Xenopus tropicalis: one gene and its partners. The protein of the gene in region 4 interacts with the protein of the main gene of each other region in a pairwise test. Links are inferred from orthologs where the notes say so. Each region holds a gene or a part of one and is shown on either strand. Other genes may lie near its edges.

Region 1 (3,680 bases), on a different chromosome or scaffold from region 4:
AAATGTTTAGAATACAGGTTTTATACACATGGACAAGAATTACCTTAAGGGTAATTGCAAAAAAAGTACTGTGATCCCAGTTACTTGTAGCCATGATCAACTTGGTCTCGGGTAATTATCAATCACAATGACCCATAGAGCTTACCATTCACATAAGTTGCATATGGTCTGAAGCAGTTATTTGAATTCAGATCCTGCAATAAGGAGTGGCAATTAAAACACATTGGGGTTCATTATAAACATTGGGCAAATTTGCAACTGGGCAGTAACCTATAAGAACCAAATTAAATGTTTGGTTTGATTGTTCAACCTGAAGTTGGCAAAAAAAAAAAAAAGACAGTCACTGATTAGTTTCTATGGGTTACTTATGTGTATATTTGGCAAATGTTCTAAACTAAGCCTGTGTGTATGCTATAGATTTTAGGGGGAGGCTTCACACAAATTACGTATATAAATAAATTAATTTAACCTAAAAGTCATTATAAAAAAAAGTACACAACTTAACTATCTTTTGCATCACAGTACAGTTTATCACAAAAAAAGGAATACAAAAAATGTTGTCAATTTTGCATCAGATTTTCAATTTTAACCTTCAATTGTCCTGACTAATTAAGGCCCGTTTAATTATCCAGACATATATATGGTAAAAATGAGGAGATATGACATTCAATTTTGAAGTGAACACAAAAAGTATAGCTAAATACAAACTGCTGCTTTACGATCCATAAATGCTATGGAATTTTTTTTCAAATAGTTTGTGTGCTTCTTTTCAGCAGTATGTGGTATATAAACTCGCAGTCCACATGTGTGTGTAGGACCATAAATTGATGCATGTAAATATTTTTGTACAAAAATGACAAATATTGTTTTTTATATAGGCAGTTTGCATTATAGCTACAGTCTTCTGCTCATGTAAGTCAAGTTTGCTACAGCTATAGTTAGACAAGAAGCAATCTTTTTATAGAAAATGTGCAGCACTTTCACAAAACTGAACAATGCAATTGCATATCCTTCTTTAATCATTTGATTTCCTTCCCTATCCAATTCTCACCTCACCCCCCGGCCTCTGCTGCTCCCGATGACTCCAGACAAGTCACCTCACTAAAGGGAGGTGACTGTAAAGTTGTCTTCAGGAATATTTTCAGGTCCCAGAAACCCACCCTTCATGTTGGGAGGGGACAGAACTGGGGGTCCCTGGGGGGGAAAGGCTGGGTAGCGATAGGTCTCCTGTAGTTGCACCATGGAGTCTCTTTGCACAGGGGAATGGGTGATATCACTGAGCAATGGGCAAGGGTATGGGGCTCTGTGGTGTCCTCTCATCATGTCCAGCGTCTCTTTGTCCCTTTTAGGGCTGGGGATATGGGGGCTCAGACAGGATGCTCCCTCCCCCCGCCTGCCCATAAAGTCTGAAAGTAAGCCCCCTTTTCCATCATAAGGAGGACTGCGAGGTGGGTACCAGTAGCCAGCATTTTTGCAGCTGGGGGGCTCATAGCGGTGATGGGTGGAAGGTTGGGATGGTAGTTGCTCACGACAAGAGGGCAAGTGTGGAGGCAAACTGTGTTTGAGGGGATCACAGGATGAGTGAGAAGAGGGTACTAGCTTCCTTCCTTCCCCTGGCCGTAGCTCAAGTGTAGGGGAGCAGTTGGGAGAAAAAGGAGAGTCTTGCATGGGATGTTCGTAACCCAGGCCAGGTGGTGGAGGAGGATGTGGGGCACCAGAGGTGGCACTTCCGGATGGTGGGAGGTGAGAAAAGTGTTTTCCAGGCTCTAGCTCTGTTGTGGGAGGGCACAGCCCCGGGGAGTCACTCTGGAAACCAAATGTGCCATCAGAAGGGGTAGACGGGTTCATGGAATAAGGTCCAGAAAAGTCACAAGGGGGATCTCTCTCTCCTACACTATATGCCCGTGAGTGGGAAGGCAGAGGTGACATGCTACTATCCCCACTATAGCAGTCCAATCCTAGCTCTGAGGACTCCTGGAACAGGGAGCTCACAGAGGATGATGGAGGTGGAGCAGGTGGTTTTGGGACAAACTTAGCCTTTCCTGAACCTCTCTCTTTCCTGTTTGTGGAACAGCCCCCACCACGACCACCCCTTGGACCTCTTGGACCCCCTCCTCGTTTACTGGGAAAGCCTGTAGGAGGAGCAGCAGCTGAGGAAGAGGAGGAAGAAGGAGAGGATGAGGAGAAGCCCAGGTGATGGTGATGTGGGTGTGAGGGTTCAAAAATATCAGCTTTCTTCCTTCTCCCCCGACCAGGTTTAGCAGTATGGTGAAAGAGAACACTCTGGTTCCAGCTGTATCCAGGGGCAGAGGATGTTTCATTCCAATCCATCATTAATTTTTCAAGACTTGATAAGCTGGATTGCCCTTCACTAGATGAAGCCTCACTGTTGGCCCGGCGATAGCCAGCCCCAGGCTGTGTGTACTGTGTGCTGTCAGAGGATGATTCAGAAATGTTGTCTGTGTTCTGTTTGGCTTTCTGGGGAGTATAGTTGCTAATGTCTAAGATAACATTGGACTCTGTCATGTGACAATCAAAACCAGCTCCATAGAGCTGTCCAAAACTGTCAGGACCCCAATCTGTCTGGCTGTAACCCTGCCTAAAAGCCCACTGACTTGAAGTCCCTGGAAAGGTACGGCTATTTTCCCCAGGGAAGAGTGATCCAGCAGCTTTAGGCAGCATGTAATTGGCAGGTGAGGAGGTACCTGATCGACTCTCGCTCCTAAGGGGGGGAAAAGGGGGCACTTCTGATGTATTAAAGAAGGGGTTTTTGGACATGTTAACTCCAGATCCTACAGCAGGCAATTGTTGTTGCTGCTGATGGCTGAAACCTGTACCACTATGAGCACTGCCAGGTGATGAAGGGAGGCTGTTACCTCCACTGAATGAGAAACTACAGTCCTTGTTGCCTGCACAATCTGGGGGTCCAGAGGGATACTGTTTGTTAGGTGCAAAAAGTCCATGGCTGGGAAGGCTCTGACCACCAGTTCCAGAGAAACCACTATATTGGCTAAAGCCCCCAGTATGATGAGAATTAGGTGAACGAGACACCAGCTTCTGAAAGGCATCAGAGCCATGGCAGTCTTGTTGATTTAATGCTGCATAATTTGATGACCCTCGACTTGGTGGAAATTGCTGCCTGGCTGGTGCTGAGCTTTGGTATGCTGATTCTTGAGCACTAGCTTTAGTGCCCCGGGAGTTGGAATAGGACTGGAGAGCTCGGGTGTTAGGGGAAGATGACGATCCAGAGAAGGCTGATGCTGATTTCCGGGCTTCTTGTCTCTGGGCAGCCATGGCAAAATCTACTAGATCAGAAGAGTCATCTGAGTCAAGGAGGGAGCGGAAATACCCAGTAAAGAGGCTGTGGCGGTCCTGCCCTCCACCCTCGGCATGGGACACTGATCCTGCTCCTGCATAGTAACTAGGTCTGTTAGGGGATCCACTGTGCATTGAAGAAAATCCCCTGTTTTCAGGTCCTTGATAACTGCAGTGTCTACCACCTGACTGGCTGTGAGAAAGCTGACCCGGCCATGGTGTTCCTTTACCTTCAGGTCCCCATTCAGATGTGCCTTGATAGCCTAAACTTCCCTCTCCACCCATTTCACCAAGAAGAGCACCATTCTTACGTGATCTCCTCTTGCGCTTGGGCTTAGCATTGGGATCTGGCTCAGCTCGCGGCT
Region 2 (3,500 bases), about 35 Mb from region 4:
ATATTGATTTGGTGCCAATTCCCAACAAGTGATAATCAATAAGTGGACAAAATGTTCTATTTTACAAATGTCCCATAACTGCACCAGCATGGTTAAGATTTTCCAGCAGAGTCTTTGCCATACTACTACTACTACAAAAAAAAAAAAATATATACCACACACACATTTCCCTCCCATTAAAGTAAATATATGACTTAGGTGGACCATCCGATTTATATTATGCCTATCCAGTAAACAATGCTCAATTTGTTACTGTACTAATCTAAAGCCATCCTGTATTATCCTAACCTATATTATATTGCTACCCCTGTGCTCATGTATTTTAAATAACTGCAAAAAAAAAAATTCTTCTCATGAACATAACAAAATGCTTAAAACCTACATTCCCTTCAAACAGAGTAATATGCTAAAAGTATCCATTTTTCATTGCACCCTGTCTGCATATGTCTGCTATACCCTTGCCCCAGCTGAACAATACTCCATAGCGAACAGAAGCACAGATATTATGGCAATAAAGGAACAGCGGTCTTTGGCTATGGATAATTCCTCAGTCAAGCCAAGATTTATGTAAAGCAAGTATATTATGTATACTTTTATATTTACAGGATATACTAGATACTTTCCTCTCATCATTTCATTTGTCTGCCCTACTTATAGAGCAGCATCTCAAACAAGAGCAGATAAATGTAACATTTGACACATCCTATTGCTATGCTTGGCCTCAACAGGCTTTGCCACAACACAGAAACCCCATCAGTTAAACAAAAGCCTTGGTTTTGTCTTGGCTTATTATTAACATACGCATTTGTTGAATTTTACAAAAGAGTCACTTGTAATTTTCAATTTCTCCTTAAACGGCCAATTCTACACAGAAACAAAAGAGGATTAAAGCAGAAATAACATTCACTGCTGTTTAAATTGAGAGAGGCAAAAGACTGCTTCCCTCCAGGGTCTCACCTTGATTCAGCCTCTGCTGGATATTCCTCAAAAATCTCAAACTTTTGGCGACTTTTCATGGATTTTAACATAGCCTCAGATGGCAAGCCTTGTGGGCCAGTTCCTCCATTGATTACTAAATCTCTGTGGGATAGTCGCAATATCCATTTAAAACGGATTACGAGATGTGCTACGTTCCCGACATACCACAGGCCAGATGCTACCCGTGCCCCACACAGTATGTATGCCACAGTCTGAGTGTCTCGTCATTAGTGTGAGTGATTGCATGCACCTCATACCCACCTACGTTTCAGCCTGCCCAAAGCTTGAGAACCTTTGCCGTACATACTCTAAACCACCATGACAGTGCTGTTCACACCCTAGTTGCGTTATTAAATTACCAGGACATTGGTTGGCACAGAAGGCTCTACATTTTAAAAGAAGTGTGGATATTACATGGAATACGCTGCATACTAACAGGATTGCTGAGCGAAAAAGTAATCATGTGCATGCTGTAAGGTGCAGTCCCACAAATATCCATATAGAGCAGGCTGAGCCAGCCATTGCTAAGCTGCAACTTCCAGTAGAGACTCCCATGTACATGGGCATTTGTAGTTCAGCAACAGCTTAGCTATCCCTGCTCTAGAGCTAAAATGGCATTTAAGGTTGTTTGTGGGCCTACCAGCTAGCCCACACTTGGCTTATGCTTTAAAGTAATCTAAAATGGCAACTCAGAGCACAGAAAATATTTTCTTTATGCAAAAAGGAGATACACAAATATGAGGGATTCTTAATATCATCCATTTCACCTCGGCCATAGCATCTCCATGAAGTGAATTATTAAACAAAGCCCCTCAGAATGGGGGTGGAGATGTTGGAGAGTGGGACTGCACCGCTAGCTGTATCTGGCCGCAGTGCTCAGTTCAGAAACAATAAAAGTGTAATTAGCCAGCCAGAAGAAATCATGGATGTTGGCTCTACCACTTACATTAGTCCAGCAACCCCCCTCCAGAAAAATTGGTTTGATGCATGTTTAAGCCCCCAATACGTCACCCACCAAAAATAATTGTATTTGTTGTTGATTTGTGAAGTTGCTCATAACCAGTGAATCTGTGGAGTAAATTAAAGCCCAGTACCCAAGAGAGAAAGCTGTTCCAGCACCTACCAGCAACAAGCGAAGAGAAGCGGCAAGACCCAAAGCCCAGACTTACATGGTAACTTACATGGCGGCGGGGACAAGCCATTGCGATTTAAAGTTCCCCCCATTAAGACAAAGTTCATTTCCTCTGCTGAACACTGAAACACCTCCACATATCTGTCCTTCATGGTCTTCTTGTGGCACTTCTGTGCTGCCAGATACGCCCGGTCTGCCGATTTCATCTGAATAAACGAGTCCCCAGATGGACGGCCCTGGTGACAAAGAACATGAATGAGAAAGTTTTCTATGAACGGACAATGGGAAATCCAAACAAACAATGGTTAACCGTTTGTGCTAAAAGGGCTCATTTAAAAGTCACACACACAGTGCCATGCATACAACTGCACTATGGTAGGGCAAAGGTTAATTTGCTAATTGCATAAGTAACATACTGGTCTTTCAATTATTTCTATATGTGCAACATTGCCAAAACACATACCAAACCAACACCAGTTAGCTTCTACTTGTTCGGCACAAGCAAAACTATAGCTGGTCATATACACATCAATACTGGCCTCCCACACAGTCACACTTGACCAAGTTGCCAGATTATTAGTCTGTGTACGATGCAAAAACGAAGGTACCTGGAGTGATATCTGGCTGAGGCTCAGCCACAAATCACTGGAAAATCCCAGAAGATATGGACTGCATCTAAGATAGATATATATATATATATAGAGAGATATATAGAGAGATATAGATATATATAGAGAGATATATAGATATATATAGATATATATATAGATATATATAGATAGATTTATAGATATATAGATAGATTTATAGATATATAGATAGATATAGATATATAGATAGATATAGATATAGATATATATATATATATATATATATATATATATATATCTAAGATAGATATTGTCTTTTCCAATCAAGGTCAGCACAGGCCCCTATGTGACCCAATGTGGCTCAGTGGGTTGCTGCTGCCTTGGAGTGCTGGGGTCCTGAAGTCTACTCCAGCCAGGGCATTATCTGCAAGGAGTTTGTATGCTCTCCCCATGTCTGTATGCGATTCCTCCAGGAAATCCAGTTTCCTCCCACACTTCAAAAACATACAGGCAGGTGAATTCCAAATAAAAAAACTGTCCCTAATGTAAGTGAATGTAATAGGGACCTTAGACCATGGATCCTCAAACTACGGCCCACAGGCCGGATCTGGCCACCCCAAGGTAATTTACCTGGCCCCTGCTGCATCCTCTCCCCTGGCTAGTGTGCCTGTCTATAAATACTGGGGAAAAAACCCACCACCGCTAAAGCTCTTGACCAAGTTGGCAGCTTATTAGACCATGTATGGTGCCAAAATGAGAGGTGCCTAAACCAATATCTGACTGGGGCTCAGAGACATACC
Region 3 (3,500 bases), on a different chromosome or scaffold from region 4:
CCATCTGCACATATTGTCAATGGTCCTATTACATATTGGCATGTTTTTGGCCATAGAAATAGGAAATCATTTCTAAAGTAAGCATAAATAAATCACCTACTGTATATGTAAAGTATCACTATGGATTTGTATCCTCTTTTTTTAACAGGACATTGGAAACCATGAAATACAGAAGGACAGTGTGGATCAAAGATTTCTCAGCATCTTCAGGAAGGGCAAGAAAAAAACCATCGTCAGGAATATGGGACAAATGATTCACTACTCCAAAGTCAAATTCTGCTTTCAGAACAGTCAGGTAAAGGAATGAGGATATATGCAGGGTAGCTGTTATACTCACAGAATCCTTTATGCAATGTAGTAAACAGTGCAAGCACCCAGGCAACAGAGGGAATCATTTTACCACTGTCGCCAGCAAAATGGAGCACAGAGTTGCTGTTGGCAAGAAGAGTGTAATGATGAATGTTCTAAGTAAAGGCCCAAGTATTTGAAATGAAATATAACCTACTTTTAGTAGGTTTTAACTTACATATATTTTACCTTAAATAAATGTTAACTCATGAAGGCATAATTGGGTGCCTAGAACACTATACTTCTTCACGTTGCATGTCTGTGTGTAAGTGTGAGATAGCATATTGCTTGACTTGACTATTCTAAATATGCATCTTCCCCTTTTTAGACAGTAGCAAACTCAGTTGGGTTTAAAATTAACACAACATAGAGTATGTGGTTGGCCCCAGCTAATTGCCTTTTGTTAATTTAATTTGTTTAAGACTATGTAGCCATTTTTATTCTTTTAAAGTTTATGTTCTATTACACTTTGGTACCAGAGGTAGGTCCATGGAGTATATTTATAATGATGAATTAGCAGTTAGATAATGGTTGGAGTGGGATGTTACAGTATCTGCATAAGACACAGAATTGTGGCTTGAGGTGGCCATACACGGGCTGAATCTAGCTGCCGATATATATCGGTCCCTTAGACTGATTCGGCATTATATCGGCCCGTGTATGGTCACTAACGACGGGCCTGCCTGACCAACATCTGGCCTGAAAATGGCCAGATCAAGATTTGGCAGATTTGACATTTAGTTGGATTGGGGACCCCATTGGCTCGTTGATGCAGTCCCTGAACCGACGGACACCTATACCTGTCTTTCTAATTAGCCTGATATCGACCTTGCCAAGCGAGCGGACCTTAGCGTGTATGGCCACCTTTACGCAATGCTGTCCTTTCAACTTTTTTTTTTATACCGAGCAACTTTTTTTTTAGGCTGTTTGGCATTTTATCGCAGCAAAACCTTGTGAAAAATTTTGCTCATCACTATTCAGAATTCAAATCAGTCCCTCCCCCAATGGAGCTAATAACCTAATGGGCAATATAATAAAAATCCCCACTGGAAAAAAATATTCACAATACTAACATTTTGTTCTTTGCACAATCAATTTTTTCCACATTTCTCCAATGCCTATTGCAGTACTGTATATATTTCAGCACAGGGGATGAGCTGGCAAAACTTGGCGTAAGAAAGGTTAAAGGAAATAATCAGCTGTTATCATTAGCAGAGTGTTAAACATCAGCCAAACTGTGTACTTTCCAAAGCCGATCCCCTCCCCTACTTGCTATACCTATGAGTCATTTCCCATTACATGTCTATTGTGGACTTTAACCTGTTTGTCTGGGTGATAAGATTCAGTTTCTGTGCTGTCTGCACTTTAGTTGGGAACCTTTGCTGATCAGAGTGGGGCAGATTCAAAAAAAGAATGGACTGTCCCATTTCTTACCTGATCATTACACTAATTACTGCAGTACTCATATTAAGCTGAATACAGACGGGGCGAATAGTCGGCACGATTTCTTAAAACCACAGTCACAACAATGAAAGAGAATAATCTCTGTGCACAAATATAAAAGCCGCAACGTGCAAAATGTACCACGCAGGACTACTTTTTACCTTTTCAATCTTTCATGCATATGTTTTTGCTAATTGTGTTGGTGCATGTAGTGTTCCTACTCACTTGCTGATTTCTAAAATCTGTGAACACAGATTTATTTGTATTTTTAAGTCAGTGATAAATTGATATTTTATTTTTGAAACCAAGACTTCAAATATTGACCATTGGTAATCCAGTTGTTTAAGCAAACATCTTATTTTTGAGAGGGACACGTTTAACTTGCCAAAGGGGATATTCCAGATTAACCTGTTCTGTTCTTTGCAGGACATAAGTGACTGTTACTTGGAGCTGTTTCAGTCCCACCTCTATTTTCAGTCACGTGGCCCAACTGGTTTGACCTATCAGGTAAGGGTTTCCCATGACCACACACAATGCCTCAAATGAGTAGACAGTTGATAGGTACCTGATGAGTTTCCTTGTTAGATTCTGCTATAAGTATAGATGTATTGGCAACATTTCACATCAAACACACACACAGATCACCATTTCTCAAATATCTGTTGACCCTTCAACCCTCAGGGTCACTTCCATTAGACCTGTTTACATGACTCCAAATACTTGCCCTTATCTCAGATGTGGGGCCTTTGTGCAAATGTTTTAAAGTACACTTCTTATCTTATGACATTTTACTATTCAAGGTTGCTTACAACTGCAGCCTTCTCCAACCCTGGAGGGACAGCTAATTGGCTTTTCACGGATGATGAAGTTTAAATAAAAATATTATGGAACTGAATAGTGCTGTTTGTTGTGTCTTTGTTATACCCACACATAACATAATAGATGCTAGACAACACGCTGCTCTTGCATTGCTCTTGAGATAAACACATATTTGAAATTTAAAAAAGGAATATCATGTAGCATAGAGATGTCAAACTCATGCAGTTTTTTTTATTTTTAAAGTGTATTTCTTGCTTGATCTTACTATAGTATTAAGTGTTTAAACTACAGATACAGCCAACTTAAAGGGACAGTCCACCTTAAAATTAATGTTTAGCATCATGTCTTCATTTTTTTAAGAAATAGTTTGATGAAATACTTACCCTTTTTGTTCTGCAGCTATCATTCTTGGAAGATTTAACAGCTGTCTGATTGCTAGGGCTTAATGATCCTAGCAACCAGAGAGCAGTTTTGAAGTCAGAATGAAAGATCAAAAGGAGAGGCTTAAAAAAAAGGCATCTTCCTGTCAATGCACACAGCAGGTGGATTTTGGTGCAAAAATGCATATGTTTACATTTTTTAAATCTGCCTGTGTGTATTGACAATTTTTTGCAATAAAAAAACTGTTTTGGAAGACCTGGCCACTGTTAAAAGTTGCCATTCTTTATATTTAGCCTATTTCTCTTGCTCTCAAGAACAGTGAGAAAGGGTTACTAAGTTTTACTGAAGGCTTGGTTATGCACTAGAATTTTGAGCTGGCTATAAAACTTGAAGGAAATGCTGGAATGTAATTCTATGTTCATCCTATATACATGGCAGTTCCCATTCTTGGTAATGTTTGGAGAAAGTCTGGCGTCTCAGTACAGATTAGACAGGAATCTTTGTGCTGG
Region 4 (3,500 bases):
TTTCATTATTCACATATTTTCTGCAGCTTCCCCATTATGCTGTCTGTTTGATATGTTCAGTGAACCTAAGAATCAAAAATGTTAATAAAAAATGGAATGATATGCAAGAGGAACATCAAATAAAGATATTTATAAGAACATTATCCGGAACCCGGTTATCCAGAAAGTTCCAGAGTTAGGAAAGGCTGTCTCCCATAGACTCCATTATAAGGAAATCATTTTTAATTTCCTTTTTATCTGTAATAATAAAACAGTACCTTGTACTTGATCCCAACTATGATATAATTACTCCTTATTGGAGACAAAACAAACCTATTGGGTTTATTTAATATTTAAATGATGTCTCAGCAGACTTAAAGGAGAAGGAAAGTTATTTTGGCATTTTATTGCCAATAGATTTGCCACATTAGTGCCACCTAGAACAATATATTTATTCTGCAGAAACCATTACCATACCAGAGTAAATAGCTTTAGAAGCTTTCTCCGTTTGATTAAGATAGCAGCTGCCATTTTAAGTAGCTTCCTGCCTGCAGTCTAGCCGTTATAGCTCAGATTACACATTCCTAAGGGAAAGGGAAGGGACTTCTTAGCAGGAGAGGGGAGAGAACTGCGCAGACACTGGAATTAAGGATGTTTCTGAGAGAGGAAAAGCTGTTAATTATCCCCATGTGCAATGCCAAGTGTACCTGTTTTGTGAACTCCTTGTTTCACCATTGCACAATTGTAGGATATTAGTTATCTGAAGATGTTATTATGGGCAGGCATAAGAGTCTTATATGGCCAATCTTCTACTCAGTTCTTAGAAATGTGTTATATCAATAAATATACATATATCAATTTTGAGTGGGCTTTTGCACTTTGCACTTGGCTTTAATGCCATTGAAAATGTATGATGTGCAGTGCATTTGTGGGAGGCTGTATATATATAATTTTTTTTTATAACGTGATAAAAAAAACTTGTCTTTTAGGAAAAGGTGGGCGGGGGAATTTATTGTAGGTGCAAGTTTTTACCACTGTTTTACTATAGAAGTTAATGAAACAATAAAATACAGTATCACCTTTAACAAACTGGAAAGAGATTTTGATGTAAACATTTTCTCAATATTTGATCTTTGTAAAGAATATAAATGACTATAATAATGTGTAACATTTTTCAATCTGCCACTTATGGTGGGCTCAATCAGTGTTAGGCAGCCTGGTATAAAATGTAATAAATTAAACCAGTTCAGTTGGGCACAGGAATTATATTGTAGCCAAAATGGCTTTTTCATATTTAGTGCTATTCATTTAACCCTGATATAAACATTTTTAGACTGTATATGGCTTTTTATGTTTGAAAACTGAGAGGTGTCTGTTACGTGTATGTATTACTTAAATCTGCATACATTTCAAAGTTGTAGTTGTACTCACTATTTGGCCTACTGTATATAGGGACTTCTTGCCCAACCTAGTTTTATGATTTCATTAGATTTGTGGTTTTAAAAAAATATTTTTTTTCAAAAAGTGGTTGTGTCATTCTTTCCTGTCGAATTTTTTTTAAAAGCTTATTCTTTTATTCATTGCTCCTCTTGAACAGCCCCAGTGTGAGAGAGTGCAAACAGAATAATGTAACCCAACAAAATGTTTAGCAGGTTGATTCATTGCATTGCAAAGTACATGAATCTTTTGTCTATAAAACCTCAATTCCCAGGGATTATGAATAACAGATCCTGCACATGACAATGGAAACCAATATGACCCTTCTTAGATCCCTAAATATTGTTGGTCTGCACCTCCTAGTAGGTTTTAACCCCTGATTATCTGTTGAGGAATTCTGGAGTTTTATTTCAACAGCATCTGGGGACCAAAGGTTAAGAAATACAGCTATATAGTAACAGCCTTCATCTGACACCAGCTTTGTTCCATACTACCCTACTTTAACAAACAGATGTCCACTTCATATAGGTTAAAAGATTTAGGGGTATATTTATCATACTGTGTAAAAAGTGGAGTGAAACATTACCGGTGATGTTGCCCAGGGCAACCAATCAGCAATTAGATTTCAACAGTTACAAAATGAAAGAAAAGCATCTGATTGGCTTCTATGAGCAACACCACCGGTGATGTTTTACTCCACTTTTTACACAGCATGATAAATATACCCCTTAGGGTAATGCCACACCAGGATGATAATCAGCATCTATGTTTGCCTCAGCCTACTTTTGCGACTGCACCCAGAACCAAAAAGTTGGCCAAGGTGCAGGCACATGGAGCAGATTTTGGCACTAAAAATGCATTAGTATGCATTTCAGTGATGAAATCTGCTCCATGTGTCTGCATCCGGCGCATGCAGTTTCTCCAGGTGCAGTCATAAGAGTAGGCTGAGGCAAGCAAAGGGGTAGATAAATGCAGGCCGAGAATCAGTCTGGTGTGGCAGTAGCCTTATATTCTGTATGAGAATAATACAATAACTGACGCTCTCTTAGGTAAAAGCTTCTAAAGCTACTTTGTCTTTGATCCATATCAACAATATCTTTAAGTGCAAGATAATTTAACCTTTACTCACCTGTGACCGGTGCTCTCCCACAGCAAACTGCACCACAGCTATGCCTGGACTATGGCTGCTCTCAATTCTCTCCACTGTGCTGGAGTCTATTTTCAAGTCGTTGCTAATATCTGCACTTTGTATGAAGTCATCTGTTTTTAAATCCTCTACTTTCTTTAGCTCACCATTGGCCAGCTGTATGATTGACCCTTTCATAAAGTAAGGGGGCAGTGTAGGGGCAGTTGCCATATGAGAAGCAACAGACTGTACAACAGGGAGGTGGATTTGAGCTGGGACCAATGCAGCCTGGTAGGCAGTTTGAGTTGCCAGTGTTTCAGCACTGTAGTTTTCACCTTTTGGAATGGGCGTAGTGACAAATGTATGAGGCACTGCTGCAAACTGGGGAGATGACGTCACAATACCAGGTGTAACCCCAACCCTAGATGATTCCATGTCTGGATTGCCAACAGGTATAAGTAAGGGCTGGGTTCCAGGGAACACCAAGTGTTGTGGCAAATTTCCAGGGTAGCCAATGGTTTGCTGCTGACTGCTGAGATAGCCAATAACTGGCTGTTGTGTACCCGCATAAAAAGCAGCAGGCAAACCAACAGAAAGTTGTTCTGCTGCACTGTGAGTTGTCTGGATGACAGTGTGAGGAGATAATGTAGCCACAGTTTTTACTACTTCTGGGCATAATGTTTGCTGTGGGGATAAAACATAGGGCCGATGGGTTTGCTTTCCTAAATGTATGCTTCCCCTGTTATGAGCTGCTAAAGGTGAGGTTTCTCTCTTAATAGTTTGTGAGACATCCATGTCTGTGGCAGTTGTGTTGCTGTTAGGCACTACCATGACTGAGGTCCGAACTCCTGAGGGATCCCGAGTACTATAATCAGTACTAGGGTGCACCACCACATGTCTTGTCTCATAATGTTGGGAAGCTGGTTTATTATTGCCTGCTTTCATTAACTGTGCATCT
Region 5 (4,273 bases), on a different chromosome or scaffold from region 4:
AAGATTGGATTGTACACAAAACCCAATAAAAATTTAAAAATTAAAAAAAAAAAAATCCAAAAGCATAGCAGCAGCCAAGAATACAAAATCGAAATGTTTTGGGGCTTTCTGAGTGTAATTTATGGTGCTTGCAATAAAGCAGAAATACTTGTATAAGGCACGCACATATGTCAAATTGCACAACCGATTCTCAAGATATATCTGGTGATATATAAGTAATTCTTGTATATTGCTTTCAATAATGAAGTACAGTAACATACAGATGCCAGAAACTTTCCCCAACTAAAGAGTAAATGATGGCCTATTGATAAGTAGTGTAAGTAATGTGCACATTTATTTATTGGTTTCATATTATTTATTGGTTTCATAAATCTTTATTAGACTTCTGGAACAGGTTGATTTGTACAAAGAGCATTATCTGCATATTTAGGTTCTTCTGATTGACTGCTTATTGCAGTATAAATGTCAGGGTCATTTTTGCATTTGGTTCAGATTCAAAGTCTTAGCAAATATGAGATACAATCAAAGACAGAAACAATTATTGCAATTTAAACCTTTAAAAAGATGAACAATAATCCTTTCTTATAGAAATCTACTTTAAGTATCACTTTATCCATCAAAGAACATGACCTCAATTCTGACCTAAACTTTTTAAATACTTAGTAAACCACAATCCCACAGTATTTACACCCTAATCCCTAATCATGCACTGAAGTTTGCCTCTTCAATAAAACTATTGTAAAGTTTATTTTATCAGAAAGGGCAATCTCCCCAAATGGCAGGAAATCAAAATTCTGTAAAGAATTTACAACATTCTACAAACTTTGGGCTCTTCAGTAAGCAGTTTTTGGGACGATGATCCAGATTTCCAAGGCATAGGGCATAGGCTTGGTATTCTCAATAAAATATCAGAATTGTAATAAAACCGGGACAAGTGAACGTGGTTCTATTGGACAACTGGCAAATTACTAGATGAAAAGAACTGCTTTACACAATGAAAAATATATTTAGCCACCTTTGTTGTTTTAGATTATTTTAACTTTTCTTCAGTCCAGTCAGTTTATATACAGATCACAATCTCTAACATCTTCTTATTTTTATTACAGATCTTGCTCATCCTGACAACCCTGCAAGCTTCTATCTTCAGTATTCTGGCAGGTGCAGGCCAGATACCATGTTTTCCTCCATATTCATCTAAAGCCAGATCTCAGCGTAAGTAGGACCAATGGGCCAAGGGAAACATTTAGCATAAAATGAATCAATAACAGAGGTCTATTCAAATTTAGGGGGAAATAGTTATTATGGGAAATGTACTTTTTTCCTTGCCCTTACTTCCCTGATGAGTAAGGGAAATCAAATTACACCCCAGAACAAATACAGAGTAGGGACAGTTCATATAGCTATAGTTGGTGACAAGTGAGACTAGCTGCATTCCAGTGGTTCTAACTCTGTATATTGAGTAAGACTGAAAGTGAAAGGGAGAAGCTGGAGACCATAATGCTTAACCAGTATTTAGTAGTGAGTTCCCCATTTCCCTTAGGCTAACAGTGTAATGCAACCCCTCCATCACCTCGTTCCATTGTCATGTGATGTTTTTTGGGATGTAAAGTCTCTCTGTTTCCCAGAGAATCTGTGCACCACCCACTATAGAAGTTAGAGATGCTTCAAGTTCCAGAATCCACCACTTGACACAATGGAATTCCATCACATTGTAACAAGATTAGGGGGGAGTAAATTGATTCACCGAATTCTGTTTTAAAGTGTTTAAGCCGGATAAACCAATTCTCTGCATACAAACTGAAATTCAGCAAAAGTGTGTGCTTTATTTTTAGCAAAAAAATAAAAACACAAAATGTATTTGCAAAGGTGCAGTATGTAATTGAGCCCTTGTAGTCATTGCTACCACAGGTTGCTCTGATTCCTGTTAGTAAAGTCTCTCCTGATAATCAAAGGATAAGGCAATTTAGGGACCAGTTCCATCAGTGTCGGACTGGGACCCCAGGGGCCCACCAGAAAACCTTAGATCATAGGCCCACTCTCAAAACTATTTTTCCTCCTTCCAATCAATCTCTTTATTCTCCCAGTCTCTTTTATTTACATGCTAGCATCTATTCTTCCATCTACTTCCCCTCTGTCTTCCCATTCAGAAATAGGGAATGATAATGAAACAAGCCAAATGGGCAGGAGCAGGAGGGCCCACTGACACCTGGGCCCACCTGGAGTTTTCCTGGTATCCTGGTGGGCCAGTCCAACACTGAGTCCCATAATCACTCTGTGGACAGTCTTTACAACTTTAACTTGTAGTTTGGCCAATGATTTCTCTTGTCTCCATGGATGCAAGATATATTGGTGTTTCCTAAGGTTTGAAAATCTCTCAACAAATGTCTGGGGACTTCCACTGTCCAGGACTTGCATTTTCTGGCTCAATAAGGAAACTACCATTGTTTACTCTGACTTTACTCTGGCTCATTTTTCAGAAGGGGTTTGAAACACACAGAGTTTCTTTGCTCTGCTTCCCTTCTGGCTAGCAAAAATTCTGCAGCTAGAGAAATTGCCTTTGTGCTAGTTTCAGGTGAAATTTCAATAAATTGCTCCAGTGCAGTTCATGCAACTAAGCACATGCCTCTAAGGACCTTAAGAGCTGCTATACTATTTATGAGCTCCGGATATTTGTCTGAAACGCTCTCCAGGCTTTTCTTTTCCACATGTTACCCTGGCATTGCCTTATGCAGCACTTTCATGCCACTGCTGCCATCATAGGTCACCTTTTAGCTGCTTTGTCATCCAGGGATAGAGATCTGCTCAATTGCTATATGTGTGAGTTTCAGGGCAGTGGATCAATTTTTCCATTCATATTTGCATTATCCGCTTATCAGCATCTTTCTATTTACAGTAATGAACAACAATCTGCTCATAGTGGAGACTTTCCTCCTGTCTATTGTGGCCAGAAATGCATACAGAATAAAAGACGAAGAGGCAGGATTCAGCTTCAAATCACAACGCATGTGATCAAATATGGAGAGTGTCCCATTATAATTCTCATTATATGTGAAAGTCATTTCTTTGCAAACAAACTGCCCGCTAAGTGTGTTAATATCAACAACTTGTGGCAGGTTCCACTGCTTATAAACAGATAGTTCGTACTGTGTATGAAAATAGTCCAAGATATAAAATCTCATCACAGATTTAGACAGTGGTATTCTAAAATAATTTGCAACTGGCCCCTATTTATTGAAGAGGGTGATAGTAATCAGTGCCTTTACTTAGTATACTCTGTGCACAATAGCATGCAGTGTACAATGTAAAAGGGTACAATAAACACAGTGAAAACCCTGGAAATAATACCTGCTCTGTGCTGCTGGTAATTTCATGGTTCTCTTAGCCCATGGCACCTACAGAGGCATTGTGTCAAGTGAATCACACAATAATGCTTATTCTGCACTGGAAGTGATTCCATTTGCACACAATTGCAATAAGGAGGAACCCCACCCTAATTTTAACACCTATAGCGGGTGCCGTCAATGACTGCAATTCTGGGAAAAACATTGTGATTTTGTGTTTACATTTAGACTTTACATGGAGCGCTCGTTTGGTAAATTAGCTTCATAACTGGTTGCTGTGGGTTGCCAGATGGTACAAATTTATAGAAAACCAACTGTTTCATTCTGTAACCCATGTTTGTTCATATATTGTAAGACCCCTGTTTGTTATATTATTGTAAAGAGCTGTGAAACTTGCTGGCACCATTAAAATGAATGATAATTATATAACCACACTTTATTTCTTACTTGGTTGTAAAGATCCCAGATACTAATAGCCAGGCAGCAGTTGAAAGGACAGAATATCAACTGGGGGGGTCTGAACAGAAAAGTAATAAATAATATGAAGATGGTTTCTTGACTTGTTTACAGTGTACACTACATAAGCAAATACCACCTCAAGGGGGACAGGAAACAATTCCTACCCCAACACAGCTATAGAATAAACAAAACAAAAACCTTGTTTATTAGCTAATACAGACAGTACTAGGGAACTAGCTAATAAAAACCTCTACCGCTGTGAAAAGTTTACTATAACTTAAAAGGGCAGTGCACCCCTTGTTCAGCATTAGTTCAGGGAATAGGGCTTGCATGGAATATACTTCTTGTAATAATTAAGATCTATGTATTTTTGTTATTTCTTGACCTGAACAGAGCGACAGGAAAATTGAAGCTACTCCATGTTTGGTCCTTGCGATGTAGCTAATTAGATTGCCAGTATACAGTCACCCTCC

Evidence for each region.
Region 1: the proteins of atxn1 (region 4) and ahdc1 interact in binary tests that used the Homo sapiens proteins (3 or more experiments, as listed by UniProt). The link is inferred for Xenopus tropicalis from reciprocal best matches to the Homo sapiens genes ATXN1 and AHDC1.
Region 2: the proteins of atxn1 (region 4) and esrp1 interact in binary tests that used the Homo sapiens proteins (3 or more experiments, as listed by UniProt). The link is inferred for Xenopus tropicalis from reciprocal best matches to the Homo sapiens genes ATXN1 and ESRP1.
Region 3: the proteins of atxn1 (region 4) and plekhn1 interact in binary tests that used the Homo sapiens proteins (3 or more experiments, as listed by UniProt). The link is inferred for Xenopus tropicalis from reciprocal best matches to the Homo sapiens genes ATXN1 and PLEKHN1.
Region 5: the proteins of atxn1 (region 4) and slc51a interact in binary tests that used the Homo sapiens proteins (3 or more experiments, as listed by UniProt). The link is inferred for Xenopus tropicalis from reciprocal best matches to the Homo sapiens genes ATXN1 and SLC51A.

What each region holds. Positions count from the first base shown.
Region 1 is NC_030678.2:78,097,676-78,101,355, forward strand, and holds the end of ahdc1 (AT-hook DNA-binding motif-containing protein 1), read right to left. Parts: coding exon 1,102-3,680; 3' UTR 501-1,101; downstream 1-500. UniProt on the Homo sapiens protein: Transcription factor required for the proper patterning of the epidermis, which plays a key role in early epithelial morphogenesis. Directly binds promoter and enhancer regions and acts by maintaining local enhancer-promoter chromatin architecture.
Region 2 is NC_030682.2:128,035,576-128,039,075, reverse strand, and holds part of esrp1 (epithelial splicing regulatory protein 1), read right to left. Parts: intron 2,347-3,500; coding exon 2,148-2,346; intron 1,081-2,147; exon of another isoform or gene 958-1,080; intron 1-957. UniProt on the Homo sapiens protein: mRNA splicing factor that regulates the formation of epithelial cell-specific isoforms. Specifically regulates the expression of FGFR2-IIIb, an epithelial cell-specific isoform of FGFR2.
Region 3 is NC_030683.2:88,889,861-88,893,360, reverse strand, and holds part of plekhn1 (pleckstrin homology domain-containing family N member 1), read left to right. Parts: intron 1-148; coding exon 149-295; intron 296-2,217; coding exon 2,218-2,298; intron 2,299-3,500. UniProt on the Homo sapiens protein: Controls the stability of the leptin mRNA harboring an AU-rich element (ARE) in its 3' UTR, in cooperation with the RNA stabilizer ELAVL1.
Region 4 is NC_030682.2:93,429,300-93,432,799, reverse strand, and holds part of atxn1 (ataxin-1), read right to left. Parts: coding exon 2,546-3,500; intron 1-2,545. UniProt on the Homo sapiens protein: Chromatin-binding factor that repress Notch signaling in the absence of Notch intracellular domain by acting as a CBF1 corepressor. Binds to the HEY promoter and might assist, along with NCOR2, RBPJ-mediated repression. Binds RNA in vitro.
Region 5 is NC_030681.2:102,870,991-102,875,263, forward strand, and holds the end of slc51a (organic solute transporter subunit alpha), read left to right. Parts: intron 1-1,106; coding exon 1,107-1,212; intron 1,213-2,893; coding exon 2,894-3,009; 3' UTR 3,010-3,773; downstream 3,774-4,273. UniProt on the Homo sapiens protein: Essential component of the Ost-alpha/Ost-beta complex, a heterodimer that acts as the intestinal basolateral transporter responsible for bile acid export from enterocytes into portal blood. Efficiently transports the major species of bile acids (taurocholate).